Linked DNA regions of Styela clava. The protein of the gene in region 1 purifies or fractionates together with the protein of each later gene. This does not show direct contact. Links are inferred from orthologs where the notes say so. Each region holds a gene or a part of one and is shown in the gene's direction. Other genes may lie near its edges. The genes, in order: uncharacterized protein LOC120331224, uncharacterized protein LOC120328439, uncharacterized protein LOC120342705 and ATP-dependent RNA helicase DHX8-like.

Region 1 (7,705 bases):
GGTGGCGGCGTGACTTGCTGCACTCCCATAGTCTTAGAATCTAACATAATTGAAAACATACATACCGTATATATAATTGTATTAGGTCTATACATAATCATCCCATGCAAATTATCATTAGACGAAGATTTCAGATATGCAGTTGTGTGTCGATGACAAACATAATAACAGCGTAAACATGGGAGTTGACAACACGATTCTGCCCCCAAAAGGGACAGAACAGAAAAAGTTTAGCGCGTGCTCAACTGTGGGCAATTATAGTAGACTTACAATAAAATCAATTCTCACAGATTGAAAATTATATATATATCACAAAACAGAAAAAATTAGAATACTTGGAGTAACTGGGGGCGCAACAAATGGATTCTCATTGCCGTGGTCAGTCTCATTTTTCATATTTCCTGTTTTTGAATCACCGTGAGAAGTCGATAATGCAGACGCCAATTCTCCAACATTCGTTGTAGAGAGTTTTCCGACGTCGTCACTACTGGTATTTCTGGAATAATATTAATAGCCTGATAGTTTATAGAAAATTATTTTTTAATTATGAGCAAAATGCCATTTTGTAATTAATAAATATCAAAAATCACTCTCGAACTCAATAACTCTTTCTCGGCCATTGATAAAAAGTTGTGATATCTGCTAATCTATCATGGCCTGTTTAGCTAATTTTGGCGAAACTCTAACCTCGAGGTTGGCAATGCAACATCGGGTATTACAGGTGGTGGGAAAAGAGCATTGTCCTCTTCTGAAAATTTCTCACGGACCTGCTCGTCCCCGGACGTAGATGTTCTGCACAAAAATCATTCATATAAAAAAAAATTATTTTAATTTCTGAAATAATATATTTATATTTTTGCACAGATCGCAATCTAATTGAACTGTTAGGCTGCATTTTATCTAAACTGTATGTATCATAGAAAAACAAGGCTCTCTCTCTGAAAGAGGTCAGTGATTGTTAGGGCCGATTGTTTACCCGATTCCGGTATGATTCTTTCCATTTTCTTGAATCCCGGTATCGTTCTGAGTCTTTTTAGTATTTGGAATCTGTGTACATTAATTATTAAACAACATTCATTCGTGGATTCATGCATTTGGAATTGATGGATGCCAGCAAAACCACGATAGCATCGCACGTTGACTATTTCAGACTGAAACTGATTATTAACAGTCTAACGAATAGTGGTTGAATAAACATATCAGACCTTGGGACTTGAATAGAAAGCTTGAACTCGGAAGCGATATGCACCACGCCATAAAAATTGTTATTTTATTTGTGGTATTACGACCATGTTGATTCATCATAACACTGTCGCTTGAAGAGGGGGTGATGGTTTTCAGAATGCATATCGATGTAGTGATTTGAAAAATTAACTCTGAAGTGTTTCGTAAAATAAACCAGATTCCATATATCGCAGAGCGTTATTCTAACCAATAAAAGACGATATATATACCATAATACCTTGTCGGCCCTGTGAGCATCCTCGTCCACGATGTCCACGGTCGACAATTTACGGCATTGAGAGAATGTCTGATAGAAGTATTTAACATGAATGAATTGAACTGAGAGTACTTTGTCATATATAGGTATTGTAATACGAAATCAAGGATTCACCCACAAGCATATACATGAACACATCATAGGCCTATACATACATTCCAATTATATGTATTCTATTACTTACAAATTCATCGTGACCACGGTTCTGTTGGTAAAAGTGACTGATATAAAGTATCATGTTGCATGCTTTTACATCAGAAAAATATCCGATAGTATTTGGATTATACAATCATTTATATATATATAAATCATACATATATATATATATATATATATATATACTTTTGATTACATATCTTCCGGACTCACCAAGACTTTGTTAGCCTTCACCATTCCTCTGCCGAACCATGAAGCAAATGCATATATACAATGCACCGCAGTCAAATAAGATGAAGCTTCATCTTGTTTCTAAGAAATTAATTTAACAAAATTGAATAATGTGTTGCGAGAACGTTAATATTCAAGAATGCTTTCTTGATATCATTGAATATGTAAAACGGGCCTGGGAACTAGATTTAAAACTCCGAATTTTAAACTTCGTGGGGCCGTTAAGTTTCCCGTCATTGGGTGGAGTAGTGACATCAAACCAGAAGTCGAGAGTCGTAATTTCTCCCGGAAACGACACAATTATCATAGCCTACTCTTAACTTCTGTTATTACCTAGTCAAAATATGTATTACCAGTCGAGTTAGTAGTCGCTCCTATTCGGGATGGGATTTACTAGAAGCCCAAATAGAAGCAGTGATTCTGTCCTACTCCAAGTACGCGTATTTGATACATACTTCTCGATTGAGACTCATAGTAGCACATAAAAGAATGAAAATGCGATTGGGATGGACGATATCCCTTGCGTAACGACTGCAAAATTTCAGTGTTTGAAATTTCAGTGAAACTGTTCACCCTCTACAGGAGGTATAGGAAAATCGCTGGTATGGCCATGGAGAACAACGGCCAATTAAAAAATTGTGGAATATCAGATTGATCTTTTAATTGACGAATATTCACGGAGGCATTAGAGCCTAATTCTTTTATGCGTTTTATACGCATTCTACTCTGAAAAAGGATTATAGTACTGATAAAACCTTTACTTCAGCGATTTTCCGGATAGAAGATATATATAAATATTATGAAAGTGATGTTGACACAGTCAAGTGATCTGTTCACTGAAGTTGTTCAAACTCTGGGTTCTTACGCTTCTTTTCAGCTTCTACACTTTGCTTCATCATGCCGAGCCACCAGCGTTCGCGTTCGGCTCACATATAACTTACTGGTTTGTTAGTGTTCGATAAGTTTGAAGACATTCTGATGTTCACGAAAATTTTATGTTTATTTCGATGTTAATATCATTGGATTTTCATTACCGCCATTGCTGATGAACGAGCGTGTTTAAGGCTCAGTCCACACTCAAAGAGCAAAATCTGCACACGCGAGGAAGAGAAAGCAGCGGATTTCTAATCCGTCGTGATGGGTTCAAACTTTGAAAAGTTTTGAGAATTTTTGAAAGATCATGGAGAGCAAAAATTGTAAGAATCTGTAGCCATTTCTTTTTGTTGAATTTCACAAATTTTGTATAGTAAATAATATTTTTATTGGGAAAACTCAACTAAGACATGGTAAGCAATTCATTTGATTGTTATATAGGCCGCCTTGATTCTGTTTTAAAGTTGAAATATAAATTTGCTTGCTAATCCGTCCAATGAGCATATATACAATGAGTGGAAACTTGCAAAGATTTGCTCATTATGGCATTGTTCCCTGCATTTTTACGTCGTCCAGCTAAATGGTTCGTTGCATATTAAGAAAACGCGTTGCTCGCTGCCAAAATTCCTTGCTTCAGCCGAGTCGGGTGCGAATTTGGCCGTATTACCTTGACTTGAGGTCTTTAATTCTTCAATACATATTTGATTTTGGGTTTCGAAGTATGGTACGCTGAAAGCATACAACTATGAGCCTATGCTTACTGGAGAGAGGGATTTTGGCAGCGAGCAATGAGTTTTCTCCATATGCAACGAACCATTTAGCTGGACGACGTAAAACATGCAGGGAACAATGCCATAATGAGCAAATCTTTGCAAGTTTCCACTCATTGTATATATGCTCATTGATCCGTCCTAACACATAGCCATATCAGACAGTGGCGTATCTAGGGTATCTTTATTACTATCTTTATCAGTGTTTCCCGGTCTGATTTGACTCGTGAGCATTTGATAAATATTCAGACTACTGCTCGCTATCTTGGAAAGATCTCTCGTGATTGGTGTAGGTGTGCCAACCCACCCCTATTGGTGTTGCACTCGAACTCTGCTTCACAAATGCGGCATATGTACACTTGGCATTACTTTGAGCCAGAATATAATTTCAAGTTCATCACTTCTTACCAACTTATTTGACTACATTCATTTAGTTAGATCGAAAAATAAGTTAACTTACTTCAGCGGAAGATTTTCTAAATCTTCGCCCTCGCCTCTTTCTCCCGCATGACACCCTGTGTCCTTCGTCGTTGTCTTGGGTAACGATACCCACTTTGTTTCGTTTTAGTGGCATATTAAGCAAGCATGCTGCCAAAAATACCGAATAAAATGTCGACTTAAGCAAAAAGTTACAATTACCCCAAAATCGTATACTTATTACGTCACAATAGGACACGGGATGTTTATGCCAATCAGCAGTGACATATTTATCAATCATATCCTGAATGTCAAAAGGCTTTATAAGGTTTAGGTTTGAGTTGAGTGAAAAACTTCAGGTAACACACTCCATTGGTATGCGAAAACAATGAAATATTGTCTTTCTCGGGGAAAAGACAGGCTTTTCAGATTTTAAGTTCAATTCATCTCTTCTATATTGTTGTAAAAGGGCATTCCTTTTATAATGTGGTCATCTGCTGTTTTGATGTAATTTAACTTATTTAGCTTTTTGTTTGATAATATTGAATCAATTATTTTTTCCTCTTGCCATGAAATTAGCCTAAATTCGTGCAAAGATGATTGAACTTTCTGCTTCGCCGCACACAAAGGTCGCATTGCTACAAGCTTGTAGCTTTACCACTTTACGAAGCACAGAAGCAAGTATTCGGCGCGAGCACGTTTTGCATATTTGTTTGTAAACACTTTGATAGCATAATGGCACCAAGTCCAGCTCGAGGGCGTGAAAAAGCAACGAATGACACTACCGACGGAGGACGAAAAAAGGCTAGATCATCTTCCAGGTTAGTGCGGTAGACTATTATCAGACTACGGTACGGTACCGGTACCGGTATGTTACAAAAAATCTGCATCCAGTCTGCAAGATTTGGGGTCTGGTATAGTTTGGTACCACATGCACTTCTAGTTGGCCTGGCTCAACAATTTTTGCATATGCCAATCCTAAACCCCACCTGACTACGTCACCGAAAAATTACGTCATTTTGACGTCACATTGGCGTAATAAGGCCCACCAAAGTACAGTATGCGGATGGTCGTCCAAAACGCGCAGATGATGACCCGAAATCGAGTAAGCTATTTCTTTCGTTTTCACGTCATAACGATCACGATGTATGTATGTACTGGTATGTTTATTAGTCTCGCCGGCGTAAGCGAGTTCGTTATCGGCGGCGCAGATGCCATTTCAGGCGATCGTAATTCTACTATAGCCCTATGACGTGTTTGTGACGTCGTATCGACATATTTTTTGAATGGCATAGTAAGGTGAGGGTTAGGATTAACATATGCAAAATTCGTTTTGATACACCAACTGGAAGTACTTGTGGTACTAAACTATACTAGACCCAAGATTTGAATAAAAGTCAAAATAGGGAAATGATATCAAGTTTGTGAAAAATGTCCAAGAAATAATTGAGATTCCATACACAGTATATACCTATACGGTACGTTACCATTATCCAATTTGGCAATCCTCGTAAAACTATTAATATGGGGTGGCAAAACTTTATTTTATTTGTTTCTATATTTTCACTTTTTCAAGTACCGGTAATTGATTTTATGTTTCGGCTTTTTTTTACTTCTGATCTCATCATGTCTCCGTGATTGTGTGTTTGTCTGGTTTGTGTGTGTGCATGCTCTAATTACAGAATTAGTTTCAATACTTTTGGGTGAGCGAACACGTAGTACTTCTTTTAACAAGACCTTTCCATCTGTACGTTTCAAACATTATTTCTGTACTTTAGGTTTTGTTTGCTCTCCCGATTCTATAATCAGTTTTATTTATTTTGTTTTTGTAGCGTACCGGCAATGTATGAAATAATTATCCAGGTTCAGAATATCTTCTAATATGATCTGACGTCAAGTTTTCTCTCAATAGTCCAAGTCTTTATGCTATTTTATGTCATTTATTAACAACTCGAACAGTAAACGATCCAAAACAACCAAACACTCCCAAAGGAACGAAAAGCATAAAATAAAAATAACAGATACCGGTACCAGGCAGTAAAATGCAAGAAAGACCACATACACAACAAAAGCACTGACAAAACCTGAAATCCAAGACAACTCTGAATAAAAACCAAATGACCCCTAGAATCTGGTACAATAAACTAGCTACTGCAATTTGCAAAACAGGCCGAAAGTAACTTATGACAGGCATTTAAAAAGACTATGAACAATTCTATAGGTGCACAACATTTGAACAATACTGATGAAAGCTAATTCCACGATAAAACTGAAAATACAACACTACGGTAAATGAACTGTAATGGCACTGTACTGGTAAAAACAATAACATGGTCCCTACGTCAGCCCACTGTCCAGCACAAAACATCCGACAGTCACACAACACAGACAAACATCCCTGAAGACCAGAGGCATTCACACAGACATTCAAAACCCACCAATCTAACCGAAACACTCAGACGACCGCACTCTGTATGTGATCCAATTTGTATTGCCAATTACCTTAACAATTATTTCACCACCATAGGCCCGAAACTGTCTGAAAATATTCCCCATTCTAATGATTCTTTTTTGAATAATCTCAAGAATCCAGTGAAAGATTCCTTGTTTCTTAGACCAACGACAATCAATGAAGTATTTACCACCATAGCAAGTCTTCCTGATGGCAAAGCAGTGGGGTATGACAATATACCTGCCAAATTTTTAAAATACGCCGCTGATATAGTGTCTCCCATGCTGTGTAAGTTGTTTAATGCCTCCCTAGACCATGGTATTTTTCCCAATTGTTTGAAAATTGCTAAAGTCACACCAGTGTTCAAAGCTGGAGACAAAGAATGTGCAACCAACTATCGCCCCATTTCAGTTCTTTCGACTATGACCATAACATTCGAATTCGAAAAACTTTTGCATACCAGACTAACACAATTTATAGATCGAAATAGCATTATTAATAAGTCACAGTTTGGTTTCCAAAAGAAGCACTCTACTAATCATGCAATACTAGATGTGGTAACTTACTTTTATGATAAATTAGAGAAAAGGGAATATATCAGTGCAATATTTCTCGACCTAAAAAAGGCATTCGACACTGTCGACCATCACATATTAGTTAGAAAGCTGAGCCACTATGGCATTCGCGGTCATGCATCAAAATTCTTCCAGAGCTATTTATATTCACGTCAACAATATGTCAAAATAGGATCAAATTGCTCCGAACTTGCAACTGTACAATGCGGAATTCCCCAGGGCACAATAATTGGCCCATTAATGTTCGTATTATTCGTCAACGATCTTCCTCATGCCACCAGATTATTGGTCAAACTCTTCGCTGACGATACCGGGTTATTTGGAAGTTCAGTCTCGCCAAATGACTTGCAAATACACATGAACTCTGAAATGCAAAAAATTGCAACGTGGATGACTAGTAACAAACTAACTATAAATATTGAAAAATCCAAATCACTTCTAATTAATCCCCAAAAAAATGAAAGAAGTGTGCATTTGATTAAAATTACTATTAATGGTATATTACTTGAGAATGTGAACTCATACAAATACTTGGGTATACACATTAATAACCAGTTAAAATGGGCAGCTCATATTAACTACATTGCTGGCAAGCTTGCTAGAACAGCAGGTATATTATTCAAACTTAAAAAGTTTCTCACCCCATCAGCTATGCGATTAGTTTATTTTTCTCTCTTTCAATCATATCTTCAATATGGTATTGTAGCTTGGGGAAACGCATCTTCCACAC
Region 2 (8,154 bases), on another chromosome or scaffold:
TTGTCGAAGATTTCCAAAAAAATTACCAACTTGGAGTAAATTTTTCAGTGCAGTTATATTCAACCGGATATACCATAAATAAGCAGGAGTATACCAAGATAGATCCCGGCTATACAAATAGCAATTGGCATACGATGATACACTAGAGCTATAGCCTGATTCAAACAATCAAATTTCCCGGCCCGTTTTGAGTTTTTGAACGCGCGCAGGTCCCGTTCAACATCGGGCTCAATAATTTATGAAGTATTTGTCTGTCCACGTCTCGAAATTTCCGAGTAAAAGCTATAGTTACAAATCAAAGCCAATATTTCCCTTTTTTATTTAGCACATATAATATTTTGTGACCAGCGTAAGACTTCTATCATAACTTCACCAAACAACTTTTCTGCGCTATTTTATTAAATAATCTTGGTTATTTGCGAAGTATATACGATGAAAATAAAAAATTGAACAAGGTGTAACATGTAGTAAAAGGTCGAACAGCGCTATTTTAGCATATTAGATTGGAATATTTTGTAAAAAGCACTCAACAATAATGCAAAAATAGGCGCTCCTGAAGTATGCGTACCAAGATGTCGGACACCATAACATAGTATGTGTACCAGGTTAGGGTTAGGCCATAATTTTAGGTACAAATACTACGGGAGTCACATGGCTAGTCCCCGAACTCCCAAAAGAACTAAAATAAGGAAAATTGCATTAACATCATAGTCTAACCCTAACCTGGTACACATACTGCGTTCCGGTGTCCTCCATGGTACGTGTACTTCAGGAGTACCCCAAAATGTGAGATTTGATAAAAACACCTCCGCCAAGTTTGAAAATAACAAATCAGTAACTAGTTAGGGTCAGAAACGATTTTAAAATTTGAATTTCCAGCGCAATCTTCATTTTCGGCCCAAACCTCAAGCCAGTAGTTAATAATTTCCTTATTTTGAGGGTTTGTGTGAGTGTTTTGTTTTTGACCGGGGGATTTGTTCAACCTCCAACGATCCTTAGATTGAACCTAATTATACGATTAAAATTAAAAGATTCCGATTACATACTTGCTTTGCTGGTCAGACTCGATAGGCTTCTATCTCACTCAGACGAATTTCTCTTATTGATGACGTAGTATACTGCCTTGTCAACTGAAAGCTGAAAATAAATGTATGTGACATGATCGTCGTATTTTCACCCAAAATAATAACGTACAAGTATTTCAATTCAACAACAGCCTTTCGAAATTGTGATTCAACCATCAAGGAGCGCATTTTAAAACTTTTGCGTAGATAAATCCTTTCAAATAATTCAGAGATTTCCCCTAAATTTATGAAATATTACTTATTTGGAATGATCTGTCGGTACATTGTGTTGCATCTCATCTTGTATATGACTTATTACTTCTGTTAAGTATGTGGCATTACCATATTGATTACATGAATCCATGGATGTCGAAAAGTCAAATAAAATGTATAAATATTACCTGTAGATTTTCCCTCGGTTTCGTTACATCGTGTCTTAGCATCTTCAATTTCAACATCAACAACAATTCTGCATCTGAAAAGTTAAGATATTAATAATACACTGTTGCAGAACTTTCTAATGCGGGAATGGGAATACGTCTAACCACAATAACTAAAATATAAAAGTAAAAAAGCCAAGTATTTATCAATCTATGAATTTGGAGTTAAATTTGAGGTTTCGAAAGTTATCTATATTTCATTGATGTAAAGCGTGCCATGTGAAATGCAGCTTACGTAGTGACTTATATCGGGCGCGGCCTAAAAAAGTGCGAGAATCACTGAATTCTAGGATATATATAATATGCGAGGACTCCTGAGAAAATATCGAATATCTGATGAATGAAACAGCAGAGCTATTCCATTAACTTCGTATCTTTCGCTAACTCGTCAATTTAGAATAAGTCTCAGGTATGTTTAGATTTTTAGTTCATATTGAAAATTATAGGAAATTGTAATTTCAACCAGAAAGATTTAGAAATCATGTTTGTGAAAAGCAATATGTACAAAAATTAAGATAGTAAGCAACAACATTAACCAAATAAATAAAAAAATATAGAGTTTTAGGGAAACCATATAACAGCTTTACAAACGCTTGTTTATATTTAGCTTACCTGAATATTGTTCCAAAGAGACAAACTGATAAGGAGTAATATTCCAGCACCAACCACACACAAAATCGACCGCGCTTCATCATGTAACTTTGCTACTGAGGCGTTGTCGCTTGTGCTTCCCGCGCGAAGAGTGGACGAAAACGCTAATTAGTCCTTTGTAATTAAAAGTTTTTAATTAGTCCCGTTATTTCAGTATCTAACAACCCTGGATCGCTGCGAGCGGATCACGCTTGTGACACGTGATCACAAAACATAAACAATGCAGATGACATTTGGTATTTGCTTAATATTACTTGTTGTGACAGTTTGAATGCCCAATTTACACTAATTTCTCCATCCAAACCAAATGTTGGAGACATAACATACATAGCCATACAATTGAGTTACATGTGAAAATCCTGTTTAATTTTTCAGACCGATGGTAACAATTGATAAAGACTCGATTTAGCGCAGAGCTAGCCCAAACTGGAGTTGCGACACCGCAGGTGAGACGCAGCAAGTTTTGGGGTTGCACAGAATACTCGAATTTTACACACAGAGTACTACCGGAATATCTAATGTAAATTTTATACTTTTGATTCAAAACACAACTATTAAAACTAATGAAACGTATAAATTCCACTAAACATTGCATAAAATCATAGAAGCGCTGGGCTTGCATCGAACTGCAAAAGTTTTGGAAGCCCATATTGAACCAACTTTCAAATCAGTGATTCGTAACCTTTTCGAGCCATCAGAGAATCCTTTTTATTACTCAGGGAATTTCGTCAAACCCCAAAGTTCTGCCAGGTTGAACCAGAACCTCGTAGGGGGAGTGAATTTTGTGCAAGGTATAACACAGGGGTGGGTACCTTTTTCGGCTTGCGTGATAAAATCGGCTAAATATTTTTAGAAATTTTTTTGCGTGCCGACAAAAATTAAAAACAATGCTTTGCTTAAACATGCACAGGCAGATTCACTATTCGAAAAAAATCAGTCCGACGAATATATGTGATTACTTTTCTTATTCTATATATATCAGTATATGAGACTTCTACTGCTACATTAACGCTGATAGAGATTGGACATTGGGTTTAAATTTTGTAACTTTCAAAAACATACATGACATACCGGTTTCATGTTTTAGGCTACTTCTGTTACGAGACTAAATAAAGTTCATAGCTGAGAACAGAGATTCCCAAGTTTATGTAGAATAAAACAAAATATTTCCAATTGAGTGTTGTATTTCAACACAAAACACCGTTGTCGGGAAATATGGATATCGTTGGACATAGGTAGATTCCGGTTTTATTTTAAAGTCTTTCCCTACGGTAGAATTTTATTTTTTTTTGATATTTGTAAGGTAAATTACTATATATTATAATGCATCGATTTTATGGTGAACAAATTCTTATAATATTTTCAATTAAGTGTTGCATTTCGACATAAAACATTGCTGTCGGGAAATATGGATATCGTTGGACATAGGTACATTCCGGTTTTATTTTGAAGTTTTTCCCTACGGTAGAATTTTTTTTTATATTTTGGTATTTGTAAGATAATTTACTATATATTATGATATATTAATTTTATGGTGAACAAATCATTAGAATATTTCCAATAGAATGTTGTATTTCGACACAAACAACCGTTGTCGTGGAAATATGTATATCATTAGATGTTATATCATTAGACATGGGTAGATTCCGGTTTCATTTTAAAGTTTTTCCCTGCGGTAGAATTTTTTTTTTTTGATATTCGTAAGATAATTTACTATAAATTATAATATATTAATTTTATGGTGAACAAATTGTTAGAATATTTTCAATTAGGTGTTGGATTTCGACATAAAACACCGTTGTCGGGAAATATTGATATCATTCGAGAGATCCAATTTCGGGTTTTATTTTAAAATCGTTCCCGACGGTAGAATTTTTTTTATTTTTTGATAATTTTTAAAAAAGTACCATGTAATATGATTATTTATTTTTTGAGGAACAAACTTTAGGATCAATTTCAATTTATATTTGAAATTTGACTTGAAACACCATTACCGCGAAATATTGATATCGGTCGAGTGTGCTAATTTTGACTTTAAATTTAAAGTCTTTCTCTACGATAGAATTTTTTGAAATTTGTAAGATCATATACTGTATAATATGATAATTTAATTCCGTGATAAACAACTCGTTGAATCCTTTTTGATGAACTGTCGAATTTCGACATCAAAAGCCATCGAGACAATGTGTATCTGCTGGTGTAATGTTTTTATCATCATCATTTTTTTTATTTTACAAGATGTATTTGTGCAAATCAGGTATGGTTTATTCATAACTACATTTTATTCATAAAAAGATCAAGCACTTAGCTTAGATTTCAATTTTCCTAATTTTTAGGTCTGACGGAAAATTTCAGGCTTGCTTACCGTCATATCTGGCAACTTTGATTAGAGATATTATTGTTCAGTTGATTTTGATTCATTTTCCCGGCAATTGTGGCCATTTTGTGCCATCAATTGGCAGACTCTGGAAGGTTCTGGTGCTGATTAAAATGTGGATATGGGTAATTTAGTAATCTGTGAGCGTTTAGGATGCCTCAAATTACCGTATAACACTGTCAGAACGCCAGCCACACACTCGTGTGACGCTAGCCCGCACTCGTTTTTGTCAGGCCATGCTTGGTACCGGTATTGCATTTGCGTTGTAGATTATATATCAGATATGGTCTCTTTATTGTCAGAGCCACCAAGTTTTTATGTAATAACGTTTATAAAGCCAGTAACGTTAGTCTATTAGTAGACCTAGGAAAATTCTATTTTCAGTCTATTCCAGTATTCTGATATTCAAAAGTTACCGTACAGTTCAATACAATTTATTTCGGCATTCAATCTAAATTTTGTATCGTTCTGTACGGTACCGGTATCCGTTTTTCATTATAGCCTATTTCATGTATTTATGATGTGCTTTTCCTACTGTACCGGTACGGTACCGGTAATAGACTTTATATTATGCATGCATGACTGCATGATCGTACAAATTCAAAATTGAAATAATAAAAATACTAAATAATATTATTTTGAATTTATACAAGAATAATGACACAATTTCTGCCTCCCAACTTGCTAGCTCTATTTGCTGCTCGAGACCCAGTTCCGTACAAACCTCCAACTGCTCAGGTAAGTGAGAAATGATTATAAATATACCATATAAAACTGTAAAATGATTCTATAATCAGATAATCTAGGAATTTGACTTCATAATTTTGATATATTTATTCATATTATAATTGTTGTTAGTTCTTCAAAATATGTCTCATGTAATGCTGGACCCTTTATAGTATTTTTATAAAAGTATGAGGTTAACATATATTTTATGTTTCACATTGTTTTATAGCTATCATGGGAGAAAGATCGCGAAAAGAATCCATACTGTGGTGTTTCACAATATACCTCACTATTTGAAGATCCCAAAGACACACCTCCACCAACCAGGGGAGAGACAAAAGCAGAGAAGAAAGCCAGAAGGGTACTTTGATATTTAAAGATTGTAGCATTCAGCGGATGTTTTGAAAGTTTGGCAATCAAGCATTTTCATAGTCTTAATTTTATGTTTAACTCAATTATCACGACCAATATACTGCTCTATATCAGGGGTGACAAACCTGCTTTCGACCGTGATCGACTAGAATCTTCAAAATAGCTCACGATTGACTAATCGGAAAAAGGGTCATACACAAACGAATGGGTGCTGAATATGCAGATAACTACACACAGCATACAAAAATTTCCCCACTGCTAATAAGCTTGGATTTGTAGGCGCAATCCTAATGAAATCGTCACAAAAGTTTTTTTTTCATGTTCCATTATTAAAATTGTTAATTTGATAATCTAATTGTACCCGAGGTAAATGTTTCATCATTTGGGGTTTATTCAAATCACATAATCCAGATATAATGTTGGATGTTATATGACTGCTCGAACTTCAGTATCTACTTTATAATTTCCTCTGAGTGCGATTCTTCGCTCGCTTGGAATTGGAAAAAATGGGTATTCTGATGCCACTGCTATTATTGCTAATGAAATTTATCACTTCTCTCGTAGTTATACAATAACTTTCGAATACTGCAGAATAGGATTGTAGAATGTATTGTAGGATCGTGTTTCAGTCAAGACACTCAATGGCAGCAATCCTCTCGCACATAACCATCCCTGCATGGGATTCGAACCTGCGAACCCACGCAGAGTAGTTAGGGGTGCGGTGGCGAGCGTATTCCTAATGCTTAGTCCGTTGAGCCACACCGCCGCGCCAAACTTTCATTTTTTACAATCGACGGAATTGACTGCTTGTAAGGAGCACGTTTCAAACGCGAAAGCGCTCGACCAATAATTACGACTTTACGTAATTTGTAACTTCCCTTCCGTAACTCGAAACAATTCCGTAAATGACGTGCAAGCCTACTCCCACCTACTACTGTATGGATCAAAATGGACTTCTATAAGCTTTTTACTGACTGCCTTTTCTCTGTTGTGCATTAATGTGTGGTCTTATTTGCTGTGAAACTTTTATTAATGATGCAAGCACTGTGTAGGACTGCTTTATTTTTCAACATATACTTTTAATTGACTGAAACGGAATGTTTCTTTCTATTTGTATTTACTGCGGGTTCAGGTTGTAGATATCGGTATGTCCATATCGGTTATCGGTCACCAGTTGGCCGATATATCGTTATCGGTGCCAAAAAGTGATATCGGTCGAGCTTTACTCAATATTCAGCCCTTCTTTTTTTAACCATGGCATGGCGAAACTTCCATTTGTTGCTTAATAATATGCTCTCGGGCTTGCCCAGACTCAAATACTGTATATGTATATCGTATTTTGCGTATGTACAGTACTGTATTCTTTCAGTTTTTAAACACACAACTGGCGCTGCATGAAATTAATTCAAGACAATTTTTTGGGGTATGTTATCAAATTCACTCAACATCAGACGCGATTGACTACTCGAGTCGTGGTGATCAACTGGTCGATCGCTGTCTACGTGTTGGCCACCCCTGCTCTATACTAAGGTTTATAAGCATTTTTATCCCTACATATACATGACTCATGTTGGAAAGATACGACTCAAAATGCGTTACTGGATTGATTCAATCAGTACCTGATTGCGAAGTGCAAAGTATCCATATTAATAACATTCAACATCTTTTCTACCATTTTTTTCATTTCAAACAGATAAAAGAGAAAGCAATACTACGTGCAAAAGAAATTGAAGAAGAAGTTAAAAATTACGATCCCCACAATAATAAAAGTGCAACAGGAGATGCCTTCAAAACATTATTTGTGTCACGCGTAGTAAGTCTCAATTTGTAGCCTTTTTTCAATGTTCTAGTCTTCAATTTTAACTCGATATTGTTTCCTTTATTTCAGAATTATGATACCTCTGAGTCGAAGCTGAGAAGAGAGTTTGATATGTATGGCCCCATACGTAAGGTAAAGTAATTTATGAGTTTTATATTCCAAAAATTGGATTTTTGTTGCAAATTCAATTTCTGCATTGAATTAAATCTGATAGAAGCGTAAATTTTTCGCTTCTGTCACGGAGTTAATTTGCAATTTTTGCTTTTTAGTATCTTAGTTAGCGAGTGTACTTTCTTGCTTGCACATAGAGTCATAGGGGGATATATATATGGCAATTGCTGCATTATGCTAAGTGCTAGAAATATACTTCCTCACACCTCTGATTACGGACGCTACTAAAAAGATAGGTATCACAGGTATCAGTGACTAAAAATGTAGATAGCAGTAGTAAATGACCAAAAAGGTGGGGTCAGGGTTACTGATACCCTCCCTGTAAACCTACCTACCTTTTCACTTTTTAATTCATCTACTACTAGTTGATACCTACCTTTTTAGTGACTGATACCTGTGATACCTACCTTTTTAGTAGGGCCCCTGATTACCCTGGTCAGTTATTGGCTTCCTTTGACATCAGAATCATGCATCTGAAACAAATAACTGGTTAACCATTTCCATATTCAACATCGACTAGTAACTGGACAAGAG
Region 3 (7,769 bases), on another chromosome or scaffold:
CAATACTATTTACTTCCACATTTATTTATTTTGTCGATTATTTTCAATCGCCAATTAAATTTTATTATTTTTTACCTTTAACCGTCAGGTTGGGTCCTTAGGCTCTTCCCTCTTCACACGACGTCTCCGGCACCAAAGCACCTTACCACTATACTTCCACTTGTTTACACACTCTCGTATCCCTAACTGCGACAAACAAAACTATTTTATAATAATATAAATATGCCAAGTTATCGGCTTCCCCTCGCGGGATAAATATGAATTCAAGCTCAACTCAGGCAGTGTCTGTATTCCGCAGTATAAGATTTCGCTGACGTTGCCATGGTTACTAACAAGACGGTGCTCGGAGTCGTTATCCGTTTCTCCTTGGATCGGGTGTCTTTTGGGTATGCAGGTCGCCTCGACTTACTTTAACGTAAACCTGTTCTAATATTTATTGTTTGTTTGATTTATATATTACTGTTATTTATCTATTACTGTTAGACTTGTCATGGGTGTCGCTGCTCGATCACCAGTCTTGGTGTCTCGCGCCTCCCTTCGCCCTAAAGTACCATATTTCCTATTTCTTGTATTGTGTATTCACATTGTGTGCTTTAGAATGGTGAAAAAATAAATTACTGATTACTGATTCAAATTTGGAGATAAGCATAAAACCACTTTGGTGACATGCGTATCTAAAGAGTCATTATAGATATACTAGTTACATTATATCTAATTTTAATTGAAAATTAATTCTGTAACTTCCATTCTCGACAACAGTTGCGTATCTACAGGGGGCGGAAGGGGCAGCCGCCTTGGGTAGCACGTTGTGGGGGACAGCAGAACGAAAGTGTGGAGTTCGCGTTATTACACATGTTTTTCTCGATTTATTTTCATTTAAATAATAGCTGACATTATGTGTTTAGTCTTGTGTGACTGACTGAGGTGATGGTGAGTCAACAATGGATGTTTCTCCTACCATCAAACAATCATTTCAATTCAAAATATCCAACCCTGTTATTGAAAGTACCGGTAGAAAAGTTTAGCCGTGTCTATTACAGCTGTTTTTGGACTAATTTTTGATTACCGCTATTAAACAAGATGAGAAGCCAGTATAATCATTGGGTTCCATTATCTTTGCACCCACGTATATTTGAACCCAGGACAATTTCATCTTTATACTTTTGCACCAATGAACAATTGCATCCGCAGATTTTAGCACCTGCATACAGATCGCACCCATGGACATTTGCATCCACGTACGTTTGAACCCACGTACATTTGCACCCACAGACATTTGAAACCATGAACATTTGTACCTATGTACTTTTGCACTCACGGACATTTGCACCTGCAGAAATTTGCACCAGTGCACATTTGCACCCGCGTACGTTTGAATCCACGTACATTTGCACCCATAGGCATTTAAACCCACAGACTTTTGCACCCACTGACATTTTCACCTTTGTACTTTTGCACCCACGAACATATAAACCTACAGACATTTGCACCCACGGACATTTGCACCTATGTACTTTTGCACCCACGGACATTTAAACCCACAGACATTTGCACCCACGGACATTTGCACCCGCGTACATTTGCCCCAATGTACAATTGAACCCGCGTACATTTACAGTCATGAACATTTGCACCAATGTACAATTGAACCCGCGTACATTTACAGTCATTAACATTTGCACCAATGTACAATTGAACCCGCGTACACTTGCTCTCATGAACATTTGCACCCATGGATATTTGCATCTATGGACACTTGCACTCATGGAATTTTGGACCCGTAAACATTTACACCCTTGATATCAGTCTTTGAAGTAGAGAGGTTCTATTGCCATTTGTACCGAATTAGGGACACCCTAATGTTTTATTTTGTAATGAAAGCAAACTCAAAATGTCCATGAAAGCAAGTGTCTGTGAGTGTAAATGTACGTTGGTGCAAATATCCGCGGGTTCAAATGTCCGTGAGTGCAAAAGTACATAGGTACAAATGTTCATGGTTTCAAATGTCTGTGGGTGCAAATGTACGTGGGTTCAAACGTACGTGGGTGCAAATGTCCATGGGTGCGATCTGTATGCAGGTGCTAAAATCTGCGGATGCAATTGTTCATTGGTGCAAAAGTATACAGATGAAATTGTCCTGGGTTCAAATATACGTGGGTGCAAAGATAATGCCCAGGGTGCAAATGTCCGCGGGGGTCAAATGTACATGGGTGCAAATCAGTATGTTCCCCAGCTTTTCCATTTAGGGGGGGTGTTCGAAATTTAGGGGGTGGTAAATAATTTGCTATTTGAGATAAAACTAGGCTATTTGTATTCTTAAAAAAATGGTATGTATTTAAGAAACGATGTACAAGAGGGGCCCCCCAAGTTGATTGACGGCGAGCCAAAATCCACAGCAGAATAAAACTGTAGGGCCAGAAAAGGGCAGCGAGGAAAAGTGCGGGACGGCACGGCTGGGCGCGTTGGGAAAATTTTGAGAAATAGGCTCTAAGCTTGATTTTAGATACACCTAGCATCGCAGTTTGTTATGTAATGAAATCAATAATTATAATATTTAGCTGATAGAACTCCCGGGAAATAGATAATAAAACAAGGCTTTCAACCGTAACTATATACTACTAGGTTTTAACAAGTAATTTGCAACTGATAGTGACTAAAGAAGTTACTAGCTCATCTGGCATTGTATGAACGGCTACTTATGGCTTGTTTTGTTACACATTTCACATTTTTTTGAACATGTTTGTTTGACTTTTGTATGAATTATGCAATGAATTAAATTTTGAAATACGCGCGTCAACTGATCATAATGGCGCATAATGTTGTATTCCTTCAGAACTGAAATATTTTGTTGGTAAGAAGACAAATCGCTGAAATTTGATTGTTTTCAATAAAAAAATAAAAACGCTGTCATTCATCTAAAAAACGTCTGTTTTCGGTGCCTAGTTTTCGTTTTGTGACATTATTAAGCTTTCCTAATATACGGCTGATATCTAAAATACTGCAGTGTGTAATCCTAATACCCATACGTATACATAAGATACCGATATAATTCAATTGTTACGAAATAAACGTCCTTAAACTGTAATAATGATGTAACAATAGACGGTATCTAAAACCCAAAAGGTACCACATGAAGGGTTAAACTATTTCACTCAAGTTCGGCGGGCCATTTTAAATCGTCACGCGAGCCGTAATTGGCCCGCAGACTGCGGTTTGGAACCCCTCATCTACACTGATGAATATGCCATAGGCGTTATATTTGAATACAATTATACTTGAGTTAGGAATTGCAGTGTGGAATCTCACCTCAAAATTAGGGGGGTTGTTTGAAATTTTAGGGGGGGTGTTCACCCCCTATAGGGGGAGTGTAGGGAAATCACTGGTGCAAATGTCCATGGTTGCCAAAGTTCGTGGGTGCAAATGCCCGCGGTTGCACATGTACTGAGTGCAAATGTTCGTGGGTGCAAATGTGCATGGGTGCTGATGTCCGCGGGTGCAATCTATATGCGGATGATAACATCTATGGGTGGAAATGTAAGGGTGCAAATGTTCTTGCTTCATTGGTTGAGCTTGGCATGTTTTTCCAACTTTGTGCATTGCATATTGTTTATTATAACCAATCGGCTACTCAATTGCTAGTTGCGAACGATCTTTCTCAAAGTTGAAACAGATAAAAACGTCATAATTTGTGGTCTTCGATTTTAAATTAGTGCCTGTCAAGTTTATCTTTGATTAGCATCAAATACGGGTTTTGAGTAATCAAAAAAACGAAAGGGTATTTTTTTCAATTATGGAATGTTCACCGTGTTCAATAAAACAAAATAAGTGGAATGTCCAATTTCCGTCAAAAGCAAATAATTTACACTTTTGAATACCCTTTGGAAAAATGTTTTTTAATTAGGTTATAATTATAAATTACATATCTCCCATTGATCCCATTCGAAAAAATATTCGATTCGATTCTGAAATCATCAGGTAATTCCGAGAAGTGTTTTTCGTGAAATATGCCATCCAAAAAACGAACTTGGTCTGTTGACTATGTACATTGTACACTGAACAGCATGGCTTTACTTTCTCAACTAAACGCGACTCCAATGCGAAATGATATGAGGGTTGTTCAGTCTGAAACGAAGCCACGTATCTCTTCGTCATCGAATAAGCAGCAGAAGTGTCACTAATAAATCTAATGAATGAATAAATTTACTATTTGTTGCAATATATTATGCTACAACTAATGGCGCAACCGGGGGTTCTTTTGGTAGTTGATACTCTCTTGACAATGCAAGTCCTTCAAATTTAAGCCGAAAAAATAACCTATGCTCAACAGTAAGGCTGCGAATTCATATTCTATCAATTGAAGACGGGCAAATTTTCTATAAATTTGTACAAAATCAGCTTACTCTTAATAAGTTCAAGTTGCGCTCTTGGTTCAAAAATTTGGACTTGCGTAATAACACAGGGGCTCGGCAGGCCCACAAAGGTTACGAAACACTGCTCTACCCAATGGTATATTCTATTTTTTCCCTCCAACCCCAGAAAATTTAAAGTAATTCGATTGTATGGTGAAAAAAAATCAATTTTTGCAAAATTTATTACAAGATTGTGTGTAAATGACATTCGGTACAATTTTTAAACATTTGGCTGGAATTTTGCTGGCGTTGCGGTGGCGCACCTGCATCTGGTACTTCCTTCAATCTTTCCAGTGTTGTTGTCTAGTAGCAGTATCGATGGTGGCAGAGTTAGGGGAGTTGATTTAATTTGAAATACGAAATTTATAATCGAAAAAATTGTCTATGGAATAAAATTTAACAAAAAAAGAGTTGGGGGTGGCCCTATAAATGTTGAAATAAAATTCGAAATTATTGCTACTGTCTGCTGGTCTGGCAGTACCCGGTACCCGTACCGCAACGCTGTACCGCATCTTTCTGTCTGTTTGATATGTTATGTTCTAAAGCATGTTTTCATTATGGTTGCAGTGCCTTCATTCAGTCTGCGTCTTGAGTCTGGACATAAACTATTGAGTTGCTATGTTTTGGGATTCACAGAGAACTGGGCTCCCTGGAAAGCAACCTCAACGGGGCATTCTTAGATCAGCACTCAAGGTGAGCTAGATTTGTTGATATAATCTATTCTGCTATTAGTTGCTGTATAAGTTTGGTTTCATTCAACTAGTCTATTGCTGCATTAAACTGTTAAAGACTGAACATACCGGTATTATCCTTTCTAACACAAATAAAGAAAATAAGAGTTCGTTAATTCTGTAATTCTTTGGCATAATCCAATATTTATTTTTAGAAAACATCAAGACCTCAACCTAGTTACCATATTCGAAAACCATATATTCAAAAAGAAGAAGAAGATGACAATGAAGAATTGTTAGTCTTTGGATACGCTTGCAAAATATTCCCACCTGACGATCATGCTAAAAATATTGCTCGGCTGAATCATCTCATCCCTTGGAACGGAGATGAAAACTTACAGCTGATGATTGACAGGTGACTGCAGACTATTCCAGTTTTTTATGCTGGTTGATGCTGACATGCCATCATATTGACAAGCTTATTGTGTAGTCTATTCGCCTTACTGCCTTAGGGGAAAAAATAAAATTTCAAATAAGAATTCACTCTTCAAATAAACTACTTATGTTTTTTTAATCGAAGAATCTGTAGAATAAAAATTTACTGAAAAAAATTTGGATTGATGATTACAAATTGTTTGGATGTTTCCTGAACTGCAAATTTTTTTTGAGGTGTTAGATTTATTTGGTTTCTACTGCTGACAAATCTAGGGTATTATATGAAACTAAACTGGTTTGGAAGCTACTAAATTTTGATTTCAGTGAGCACATTTAAGCATGTATTGTAATGAATTCTACAATCCGAATAAGTTATCGATTAGTTAAATTTAATAAAACTATACAAGGAAGCAGCATATGTACCGGTGAGTGACATCTCAAGATCAAATAAGAAGAATTTTTGAAGCTACTATCGAGAAATTAGTAGTAATTAATGTTCTTACTAATGCATTTGTATTGTGTCATTTACTTAACTTTTCCAAGTTTCTGTTTTTATCTCAGAGTCAGAATATCGAATGAGACAACGAATAAAAGATATAAATTTGTCATCGAGTGAAGTACAGGAAATTTATGAACGAATAGGTGTCTGCAGGCGTCTTATGTGTTTCACTTTAAGATTTTTTCTAATTCACCAAAAAATTGTAAATTGCCGGACTCAATCTTAATACATTGAAGAATAATTTGGCCAAATAGTAATACACTAATCATCCATTAGAAAATATAAAACAAAGCATTTAATTTCGATGTGAAGGTAGGTACGTTAACGGCAGATTGCTGGAAACCTGATTTCATTATCTATTGAAGCAATGTCATAATTTATTGTAAAAATACGTTTTGCTATTGTTTTATTTTCATAATATTGCCAAACTCTGTTCTTGTATTAAATTTTTTTTATTTTTTTGTTTTATGTTGATGTGAAAAAGATATGACGGAAGAGCATCATTGCATGATCTTTCAGAATTTGATGTAGATTCTTGGAATATTCATTATGAAGTATGTAATCTTCTGTTGTTTCCAACTATTTTTTTAGGAGTGCTTATATATGATAACAAATATTATAGAGTCTAGATTGAATTTCATTTTTAATTGTCTTATTTAATTTATCCCAAGTTTCAGATCTATGATAATTAGCTGGTTCAATTAGATACATTATTATTTCGAAACTTTTCATGTAGCTTTGGTGTTGCTTGCTACTGCTCTTTTATTTAGTTCTTCTTTCAACTTGAGATAAGTGATTGTTGGCATCAAACTTACATACTATATATATTAACTATGCTTCAGTACGAATATATATCAAGTATCTCATGACAAGTAACTATATTATGTACTATGTATCACTGACCTCACTTTAACTACTACACCTACACAATGTGTAAATTCTTGTTTTGTTTTTCCTATATACCTAGTTAGATGATTTTTTTTTTACAATTTACTTTCATGTACTCTATATTCTAGTCACCATGCTAGATCGGAATTAGTGGTATTAGTGTAATACATTTTTTTGGAGTATGTTTGCAGTCTGTAGCTTGCTTGGCACTGGTATTTGTATTCTATTGTTCTAACCCAGTTAAACCATACTTGATATTGGTGATGGTGTAAATATGGTTGTTCATTTTGTTTGTATCATGTTCAGAAATCTGAGGAGGATGCAAGGATTGAACAACTGTGTGATCAAGAGAGATACATGGCATTATATACTGATATTGCAGAAGAGAAGATCAGACATGGTAAAATGCTCGATTAAATGTTTTTATGATGAAATCCATTTTAGCAGTTTGTTTAATCTCACTCTATCACAAATTTTTGATAAAACAAATCTTGTTCAAGCTCATAAAGCCATTTGACTTGATGTTTCAAATTTACGCCATCTAGATCTAGATTTTTTTATTCAAATTTATTTTGTATGCGCAAGGTTTTGCACAAACAGCCACTGCTAGAGAATCTTTCTCGTTTTGAACCCATGATTTTAACCATCATAGTTAAGTTATCTTTATATGATGTATATATAGGGTGTCCATAAAGTCTTCAAATTTTTGAAATTGTAAAGGGAAATTATCGATACCATATACGCTATAGTTTTGTCTCTCACAGATGTATTAAATGAAGTAAAAATACTTAAACAATTACTGATTAAAAACAACAAACATGGATAATATATATTGAGAACTGACTTAATAACAAAATTGAAACTGTA
Region 4 (8,062 bases), on another chromosome or scaffold:
TTCAATTGACAACTTAAAAGTTGCACACCTACCAACTTCTGACCTATGGCATGCAGATATTGAGGATAGGAATCTTGGCGCCAAATCAAATGAACCACCGGCGAGCGATGTCACTGTTTCGCGCCCACGGACTTTCAATTTCAATATTTCAAATAATAATGATACGATATCCGATACAAGCACGAAACGATCAAATTGCGATGCAGAAATTCATTTTACAGATTCAGCACATCGACTGGGGCCGTCTCCGGAAATGTCAAATCAGCAACAATCAAATCGGCCGCGAAGGCTGAGAAAACTCCCACGCCATTTAAGCAAAGACTTTATTCTATCAGGCGAATTTCAGATGGATATCTGATGACCATATTTTACTACACAATATTTTGCTTTGTCATGCTTTGTATGAGTACGCAAGCCGTTGAGGGACCACTGAAATTATGTCACAAATCGTTACATGGACAGACTTACGACATACGCAAACTAGCTATTTGTAACCGACACAAACTTCACACAATGAAGAATTGTTCAGAAAACATCTACGAGACATCTGCCCTTCTTACAAATGTTGATACCAAGATTTGTAAACGTACAACGACCTACTGGCGAACCATTTCATGGCTGTTCTTCGTCAAGCGCAACCAAAAACACGTTCAAATACCTCAGCCAATGCGCACCCAATTCTGGTTTTTGCCGGAAAGGTGTGTTTACATTTGTTTGGAATGTTGAAGATACGAAAGCTTGTAGAGCTCGCAACTTTCCGAAATTCAACACTACCGAATTCTTGTTATATTACAATGCATCGGGCAATCTTACCGATTGGAAATACCGATCATTGCAAACCTTCGAAACTTGTTCTCAACTATAACGAAATCTTGCATTGAATCAAACGAAGTCTATTGTGCATACAATGGCTTAGTTTTAAACGTAAATGACAACTGCGAAGACATTGTCAGATTACGTCATAAAGGCGTGGCCGCTATTTGGCCTTATTTACGCTTTATTCGTTGTACCCCTGCTTTATTTCATCTATCGAAGCTTGCCAAACTGCCGAATGTCCGTTCGCCGTACATTAACAAATGGATTGCTGCAACCAATACGACTTCTCAGCATACCACGACAAACCGTAGTACAATTCAACGAACAACAAGAAATACACCAGTTATCCGATGTCGAAATTGACGATGAATCGATGGAAAATGCTAGCAACTTCTCAGGTGCGAGCACCCAAGCTCAAATGAGTCGAAAGTTTGACTGTAACAACCTTTTAATTTATCCCCACCCTATTAAGTCAACTCGATTCCGGAGGTCGTTGCGAGTTGTATATGGTGTGTATCTCGCAATGTGTCGCCTCGTTATTAATCATCTTGTATTTATTTTATCAATTTAATCGTTTTGTATTTTATTACTTTTCTCTTATTATTATTATCCACTATAAAACATCAAAACACCTTAGTATAAGAATTTAAATAAAAAAAAAAAAAAAAACATACAAATAAAATAATTGTGCAGTGTCAGTTTTCTTTTCTGTGTAATTACTTGTTATTAATCAATGCCTTGTTTTTTAGATATCACGAGTTCTTTTACTTCATATAGAATTTGATTCAGGTTCAATTTCAGGGATTCAATGGTTCAAGAATCTGTCAAATTACTCATTATTCAATTTACAGGATTTTTTCTTACTTATTATTTTATTTCAAATAACCTCTAACGCCAATTTTACAATCTTAAACACCAAACCAATTTCGGTGTAATTCTCAAGTACTAAATCCGCAATTTTTTTCTTCTCAGGCCCTTCCTTTAAACATCAAAGTGTTTTAGATTCTTTTAGGTCCTTTCTTTCTCAAGTATTGTCGCCATTTTGTTTACTATTTCGTTACAATTCCATTTTAAAATGTTAAGCATTTCTAAGCAACATAGAGAGAGACCCTTTGAATTTTTTTTCTCGTATTTTGTTTTCTCTCGTAAATGGCGTATATTCTCTTGTATACCTTAACCATTACTCATTATATCGTACTGATATCTTTTATTAATTCGTGTTATTTTGTTTTCTTTCACTTCATCTCTCGGCGGCCGGACTCAAATTTAAAAAAATTATCAAGTTAATTTTTTTTACTGTCGAGGGGGAATTGTGTAGCGAATGTGCATTGTGTAACTATGAATTATAATGTATTTAACCCTTTCATTTTAATAGTGTGTTCCATTCCCCACAATAGGTCATTTTATTGTAGCAACACTGATTACTGATTACATGTACTGCCTTTCTCGTATCGACCAATTTGATGACGTATCGTTCCGGCTTGCCGAGAGGGCTGCATAATATTGTGTTTAGATCCACTTCTGTTTTACTGCGTTAGGTGTGATGTGTTTAGATCCACTTCTGTTTTACTGCGTTAAGTGTGATGTGTTTTGATTCACTCTTGATTTACTGTGTTTAGAGTTAAGTGTGTCTCAATTTTATCTGTTTTCGGAATTTGGATTGTGCATCTTCCTATAATATACAATAACGATTAGCATCAACACTGTGTGCTTATTATCGTCTGAAGGAGTCCAGATTGGAGTCACATTCCATAACGCGTGTCAAAACAATAACGCGGGAATCGAACTTAAACATATAGGGTGATAGTCTATATCCCATCAACATCACATCTCTTTCTCCCTATAGTACTACAGTGCTAACATCGTGGTCATAACGGTGCAACAAAACCTAGAAGAACGCTAATTTGAAGCGGGAATGTTCGAGTTTTGTCAGGATTGCTCAAATACCCATTTCAATGACCAGAAAATCTTTCTAGTTGTATGCGCTAATAAAAATATTTCAGATACTACAGCCCACCGAACCTGATTTCACAAGCTTCAAGATATAACAATACCAGGATGTAGTTCATTTACCCAATTGAAATTCAAATATTACTGTATAATTCGAACAAATAAATTGTTTCAATTTAAACTTAAACATCTTAGCATTTTCATGCAGTGACAATTTTAAATGAGCTAACACATCATCAGTTTGGCCATGGTTATTTACATTAATTGAAACAGAGACAATGCATATGTAAAAGCTATGAATAAAAAAACGTTATTTAATGGAGTGAATAAATTTCCACAGTTTTTATGATTAACATGACACTGAAAGCACTTAATTCCCATGTAGCAATCAATATAAATGAGGCAAAATACCAAAAACTTACACAATTCACGGAAAATTTGAAAAAGTCAAAGTTGACTGAATATATTCAGTAATTATGAAAAAAACATGAAGACCGGCCAAATTTGGCAAACGGCAACCGGCTACAGGGGTGGTGACTCCGCTATGACCCATGGGCCGGGGCCACGGCTCATCTAATTGGGCCACATGGGCCGTGGCCCCATCAGGAAAAATTCAATCATCTTACCAAAATTTTCAAATTTTTACAAAATTGTAAATATTCGAACCAAAAAAAATCGTGGGATGCTACCAATTTTTTTTTCTTACGATAAGCATTTATATAAAAATAAAGCATAATACCAAACTACCAACAGTGATACTCCTGTAGTATGTGTACCAGGTTAGGGTTAGGACAAAATTTTGTTCAGATTTTTCACATTATAGTTCTATTATGAGTTCGAGGACTGTCTGTGTTAGCCAAGTGAATAGTCCCTTTACACAACTTGATGGGCCGCGGCCCATAGCCTGATGGGCCGAGGCCCAATTCGATGGGCTGTGGCCCCGGCCCATGGGCCTTAGATGAGTCACGACTCCCACTCGCAACCGGACGCTGCACACCACGAGTATCGCACTAATTAAGCAACTTTTGACCTACGCCAAAAGGCATCGTTGCCGTCGTTTTCTGAGAATCCCGCATCAGGCAAAGTACAAGTAAGTATAGGATAGGATAGGATTCACATATTTATCCCGGGGGAGAGGAAAGCCGATAAGACGGCTTAATCATATGGCGAATCACGGCCTCTCGTCCGGTTACCAGTCCAGGTCGGGCATGGGATTAGTTAGCCAGTTATTTGTTTTCGGAAGCATGGACTCGATGGTGGAGGAAGCCGTAGCCGACCAGCGGTTACGTGAACCACCCTACGGCGGCGAGGAGTCCAGCCATCCTCTCGCACATGATCATCCCCGCATGGGATTCGAACCTGCAATCTCACGAAGGGTAATCAGAGATGCGGTGGCGAGCGTATTCCTGACCCTTAGCACATGCGCCACTCAGCCGAGTAAGATTTAGGTAAGTTAACCGTACCTGAACTGTGCACCCCGATTTCCCACGAATAGAGGTTATAAAATTCAACCTTGTAAAGTTGTATATAACAATAATCTATAATTCTATATGACAAATTAAGAAAATTGAACACTGTTGCCAGGTTGCCGTATGGATTATCTGGAAATAACGTGCCTGATGCTGATGGAACTAGGGTGGTGTAGCCAATCTGCGGACGATTTCATTCAAACCGCTATAAAACAAAAACCAATATTTCTAACCCGTTAATTTTTTCACTGTAGGTGCATCGGCATTTATTCTACAAGCTAAACCTCGAATTAACTTTCTACGACCAGGGGTTAAAGCAATACAAACCACCAAAGTACGACACTCTGAAGACGTATTTGCGACCGAACGACCAGTGTGCGACCACGGCTTTCAAGCCTTGAACATCGTTTCTGCTGCATCGAGACTAGGGCATACGCAGCCATGCCCACTTTAAAGATGGTAAAAAGAAACACAACTCTATCCACCTGCCAAGTTTCATCTCTTTATCTCCTATATTTGTATGAATTTTCAAGCTTTTTAAAGGAACAATGGATAGTTGGCGACATGGGAAAACAGTCCGTTTTTTTTCTTCGGTCGGGTTTTCGGTCGTAACTTTTTTTGTTGTGGCCGCATTTTAGTGTAATTTCGCAGAGCTACGAGGGATAAGTGGACGATAACCACAGAGATATATAAATATATTTCCAGTTCAGTGACGATAACGCGTGAGAAATATCGTCGCGGCTCGTTAATTTTTTTGGCAGTAATAATCGATGAAGTGATGGTCGCAAATAGGTTGTGGCCGCAAAGTGGGTAAGCCACCGTACCCTGATGTTATTGATTTAAGTTTTTTATAGGCCCTATGTTTGTTTGCTTAAATTCATATTAATTATGTCTGTTTGTGTAACCAAAATTTTACCTTGTAGCTTATCAAATTTTTATTCGGTTTATCACAGTAGACCTATACAAATTCAGGTATAACAGTATAAGGATTTGATATTGCTGTACTGAAACCTCAACATGAAGATGCTTTTGTGACATTACACAAATAAAAATGATTTACTCTAGCGTTCCAGAATTACTCTCCAAGTTCATTCTTCCATTTTGTGAATATAATTTTAAATACTAGAATCAAGTTCATGCTTCCTAAAACAAATAACTAACTAATCCCATACGGTATCCGACGTGGAATGGTACCCGGACGTGAGGCCATGGTTTGCCATGTCAGCATGTGGTTAGGGGGGGGGGGGGGTAATAGACTTTCCTCTCCTTCCAGCTCTTTGGATAAATATGTAAATCCAGATGTTCTACCTCTTATTTAGTCATCTGAAATTGTGAATGTTAAACTCTGTAAACATAACAGCATGAAAGAGGGAGTTGACTTTGATGATCGTCTGGTCGTATTACTCCCTCCTGTCTACTATTACTAATTGATTGTTATTATTTTTATTAGTACGATGACTGTTATATTATTTTGGTTGACGAAAAAATAAAATCCCTCTTTCTCTGTCCCATTAGAAACTGAATAATGAAACCTCAATACAGCAATACGAAGATAACACTCGTGACACTGGCAGAAGGAAGGTCTATAAATCTGATACTTGTATAGAATCAGAGTTATATCGTGTACTTGACCAGACCGTTCTCTTTTTCCCTTCTTCTTTACATACCAGATGTACCTTAACTAAAGCATCTTGGCTGTATGGTTTTTTGCTTTACAGAACTGCAGAATTACGCCAAGAGCTGCTGACAAACTGCACTATGTAATACTAACTGTAGTAATTTTTGCTTGCATTTTGTAATTTCAGAATTTAGATAATTTTGGGACCATCTATGCAAAATTATGGATGACTTGGAAAAACTTGAATATCTTTCTCTTGTGTCGAAAGTTTGTACAGAATTAGACAACCATCTTGGAATGAACGATAAAGATTTAGGTATTGTAGTTCTTTTTACATTCTTATGTCCAATTTTCAGTAAGCATCGATTTTTTCGACACATTCTAACATAAGTTTATAAGTTCAGTAAACTTGGTGGCATCTCAGACATTTTTATTAACTGAACAACCTGACACATTAGCATGTTTCTGTGATGGTCCAGTTGTTGGTGTATAGCATAAGTTAGGTGTCTTCGTACAACAAAACCTTACCGAAGGTTAGAAAATAAAAAATCAGGCTTGTAAATTTTTTAATTTAAAAGTTTTTGGATATTTTGAATACTTGACAGTGTCGCTGACACTATGACTTTGGTGGCCTTTTGCGGCAATATTGTATGTCTGTTTATTTCAATTTTTATTTTTAATACTATTTCTGATTAATTTTGTTGTTACAATATATCTTGGACAACAAAATAAATATCTGAATTCATTAATATAAAGCTTACTTGCAAGCATTTTGGCTGATTGGGAGATTACAAGTTCATTGAATGCATAGTCAAAGAAACTGAAGTAAAATAGTTATAATATTTCTATTTAGCGGAATTTGTCATCAATCTCGCTGGAAAACATGTCACTGTCGAGTCATTCTCATCGGCATTAGCTAAAAATGGAGCAGAGTTTCCACATTCTTTTACAAGAAATCTTTTGTCTCTTATACATAGAATGAGGCCACCACAAAAGAAAAGAAAAAAGAGTATGTCCATCATTCATATATACTCTCGGTTTTTGGATGATTCCGTAATGTGGCGTCTAATAGACTGTTTATAGCTTGGGTTTGGTTATTATTGAGTAACTGTTCGATAATAACTGAATGTCAATAGTATGTGTTAAATGAATATTGTCCAAAATGGCAGAGACTAATTATTCAGCTGAAGAAATGATGACCAGGTCGTTGACAACTGTAGAAAATGTTACACATCTGAGCAGTTTTGTCAACATAATTTTTGTGATTCCTAGAATGTTGAAATATGTTGTTTCTGTTTGACATAAATTTGTAGATTTGTAGTTCTTTTTTCTGAATTGAGACCATAAAATCTTTAGGTTGTAGAATCCATGTCTCATGTTACTATGAAATAATTGCGTTTGTACACCAATTGTAGATTTTTTTCATTTGTTAATTTCATACATTTGAAACAATTCTTACTGGCATAATATTTGTAAACATTTATATTTTCCTTTCAGATAAAAAGTTAAAAAATGATTCAAAAAGCGATGGGAATGACAAAGGACCCGATTTTAACAGACATAAGACAATGTTTCCAGCATTATGCATTGCTGATGATAAAGATTATGTCAAGAATTTGTTATCAGGTATTGTATAGACTAGGCTATTCAAAGGTAGTTTATCTCAATTTAATAAAGATGCTAGCCAAACAAAACAGCACGGTAATATTTCAAAATTAAAACACAAATGAACGAAATACCATCATCGATCGAAGTCACTCCGAATGAAAATAGCAGTTGTGCCACCACTTGCAATCCTGACTTTCTTTTCACTTGTCTCACAGTAATATGGTTGATGAGTCGACTGCCAATGCCTAACATGCGTAGCGGTACACGGTGCATTTTTAATCATGGCAACAGTCTGCAGTCCATGCATTCTTCAGAATGGTCGCATACACGCATAACTCAGATCGCACCAAAAAATTGGCTCATTTGCGCATGACTTTGATCCCGTAACGAGATGATATCAACATCAGTAATGACACAATATTCAAAATCAGCTGATAAATAAATTATTCAAATCGCATTACCGAAGAATTGCCAACTGTAGCAACATCGAAAGAATGTAGCTTGTAAATATGTCACAAAAGGGCATTCTACGACGTTTGAAAATCCCTTAAATAGCAATTTTCGAATCTACGATTTATAAGAATGTGTTAATACAGCGCTA

Evidence for each region.
Region 2: the proteins of uncharacterized protein LOC120331224 (region 1) and uncharacterized protein LOC120328439 purify together in Homo sapiens (co-immunoprecipitation; 7 studies listed by BioGRID and IntAct, counting the BioPlex papers as one, with this or other methods). This does not show direct contact. The link is inferred for Styela clava from reciprocal best matches to the Homo sapiens genes RNPS1 and SNRNP70.
Region 3: the proteins of uncharacterized protein LOC120331224 (region 1) and uncharacterized protein LOC120342705 purify together in Homo sapiens (co-immunoprecipitation; 3 studies listed by BioGRID and IntAct, with this or other methods). This does not show direct contact. The link is inferred for Styela clava from reciprocal best matches to the Homo sapiens genes RNPS1 and SFSWAP.
Region 4: the proteins of uncharacterized protein LOC120331224 (region 1) and ATP-dependent RNA helicase DHX8-like purify together in Homo sapiens (co-immunoprecipitation; 3 studies listed by BioGRID and IntAct, with this or other methods). This does not show direct contact. The link is inferred for Styela clava from reciprocal best matches to the Homo sapiens genes RNPS1 and DHX8.

The regions. Positions count from the first base shown.
Region 1 is NC_135255.1:4,593,627-4,601,331, reverse strand, and holds the start of uncharacterized protein LOC120331224, read left to right. Parts: upstream 1-4,598; 5' UTR 4,599-4,683; coding exon 4,684-4,769; intron 4,770-7,705. Other genes in the region: uncharacterized protein LOC120331194, read right to left, coding at 1-40, 336-496, 688-792, 977-1,047, 1,463-1,531, 1,871-1,969, 3,992-4,105. UniProt on the Homo sapiens protein: Part of pre- and post-splicing multiprotein mRNP complexes. Auxiliary component of the splicing-dependent multiprotein exon junction complex (EJC) deposited at splice junction on mRNAs.
Region 2 is NC_135256.1:9,929,210-9,937,363, reverse strand, and holds the start of uncharacterized protein LOC120328439, read left to right. Parts: upstream 1-5,103; 5' UTR 5,104-5,189; coding exon 5,190-5,270; intron 5,271-5,487; coding exon 5,488-5,619; intron 5,620-7,323; coding exon 7,324-7,443; intron 7,444-7,518; coding exon 7,519-7,581; intron 7,582-8,154. UniProt on the Homo sapiens protein: Component of the spliceosomal U1 snRNP, which is essential for recognition of the pre-mRNA 5' splice-site and the subsequent assembly of the spliceosome. SNRNP70 binds to the loop I region of U1-snRNA.
Region 3 is NC_135252.1:3,297,269-3,305,037, reverse strand, and holds the start of uncharacterized protein LOC120342705, read left to right. Parts: upstream 1-4,662; 5' UTR 4,663-4,681; exon of another isoform or gene 4,682-4,743; intron 4,744-4,976; 5' UTR 4,977-5,027; coding exon 5,028-5,102; intron 5,103-5,295; coding exon 5,296-5,495; exon of another isoform or gene 5,496-6,157; intron 6,158-6,498; coding exon 6,499-6,568; intron 6,569-7,208; coding exon 7,209-7,302; intron 7,303-7,769.
Region 4 is NC_135250.1:15,234,719-15,242,780, forward strand, and holds the start of ATP-dependent RNA helicase DHX8-like, read left to right. Parts: upstream 1-4,946; 5' UTR 4,947-5,045; intron 5,046-6,040; 5' UTR 6,041-6,075; coding exon 6,076-6,169; intron 6,170-6,706; coding exon 6,707-6,862; intron 6,863-7,350; coding exon 7,351-7,479; intron 7,480-8,062. Other genes in the region: uncharacterized protein LOC144425897, read left to right, coding at 1-358.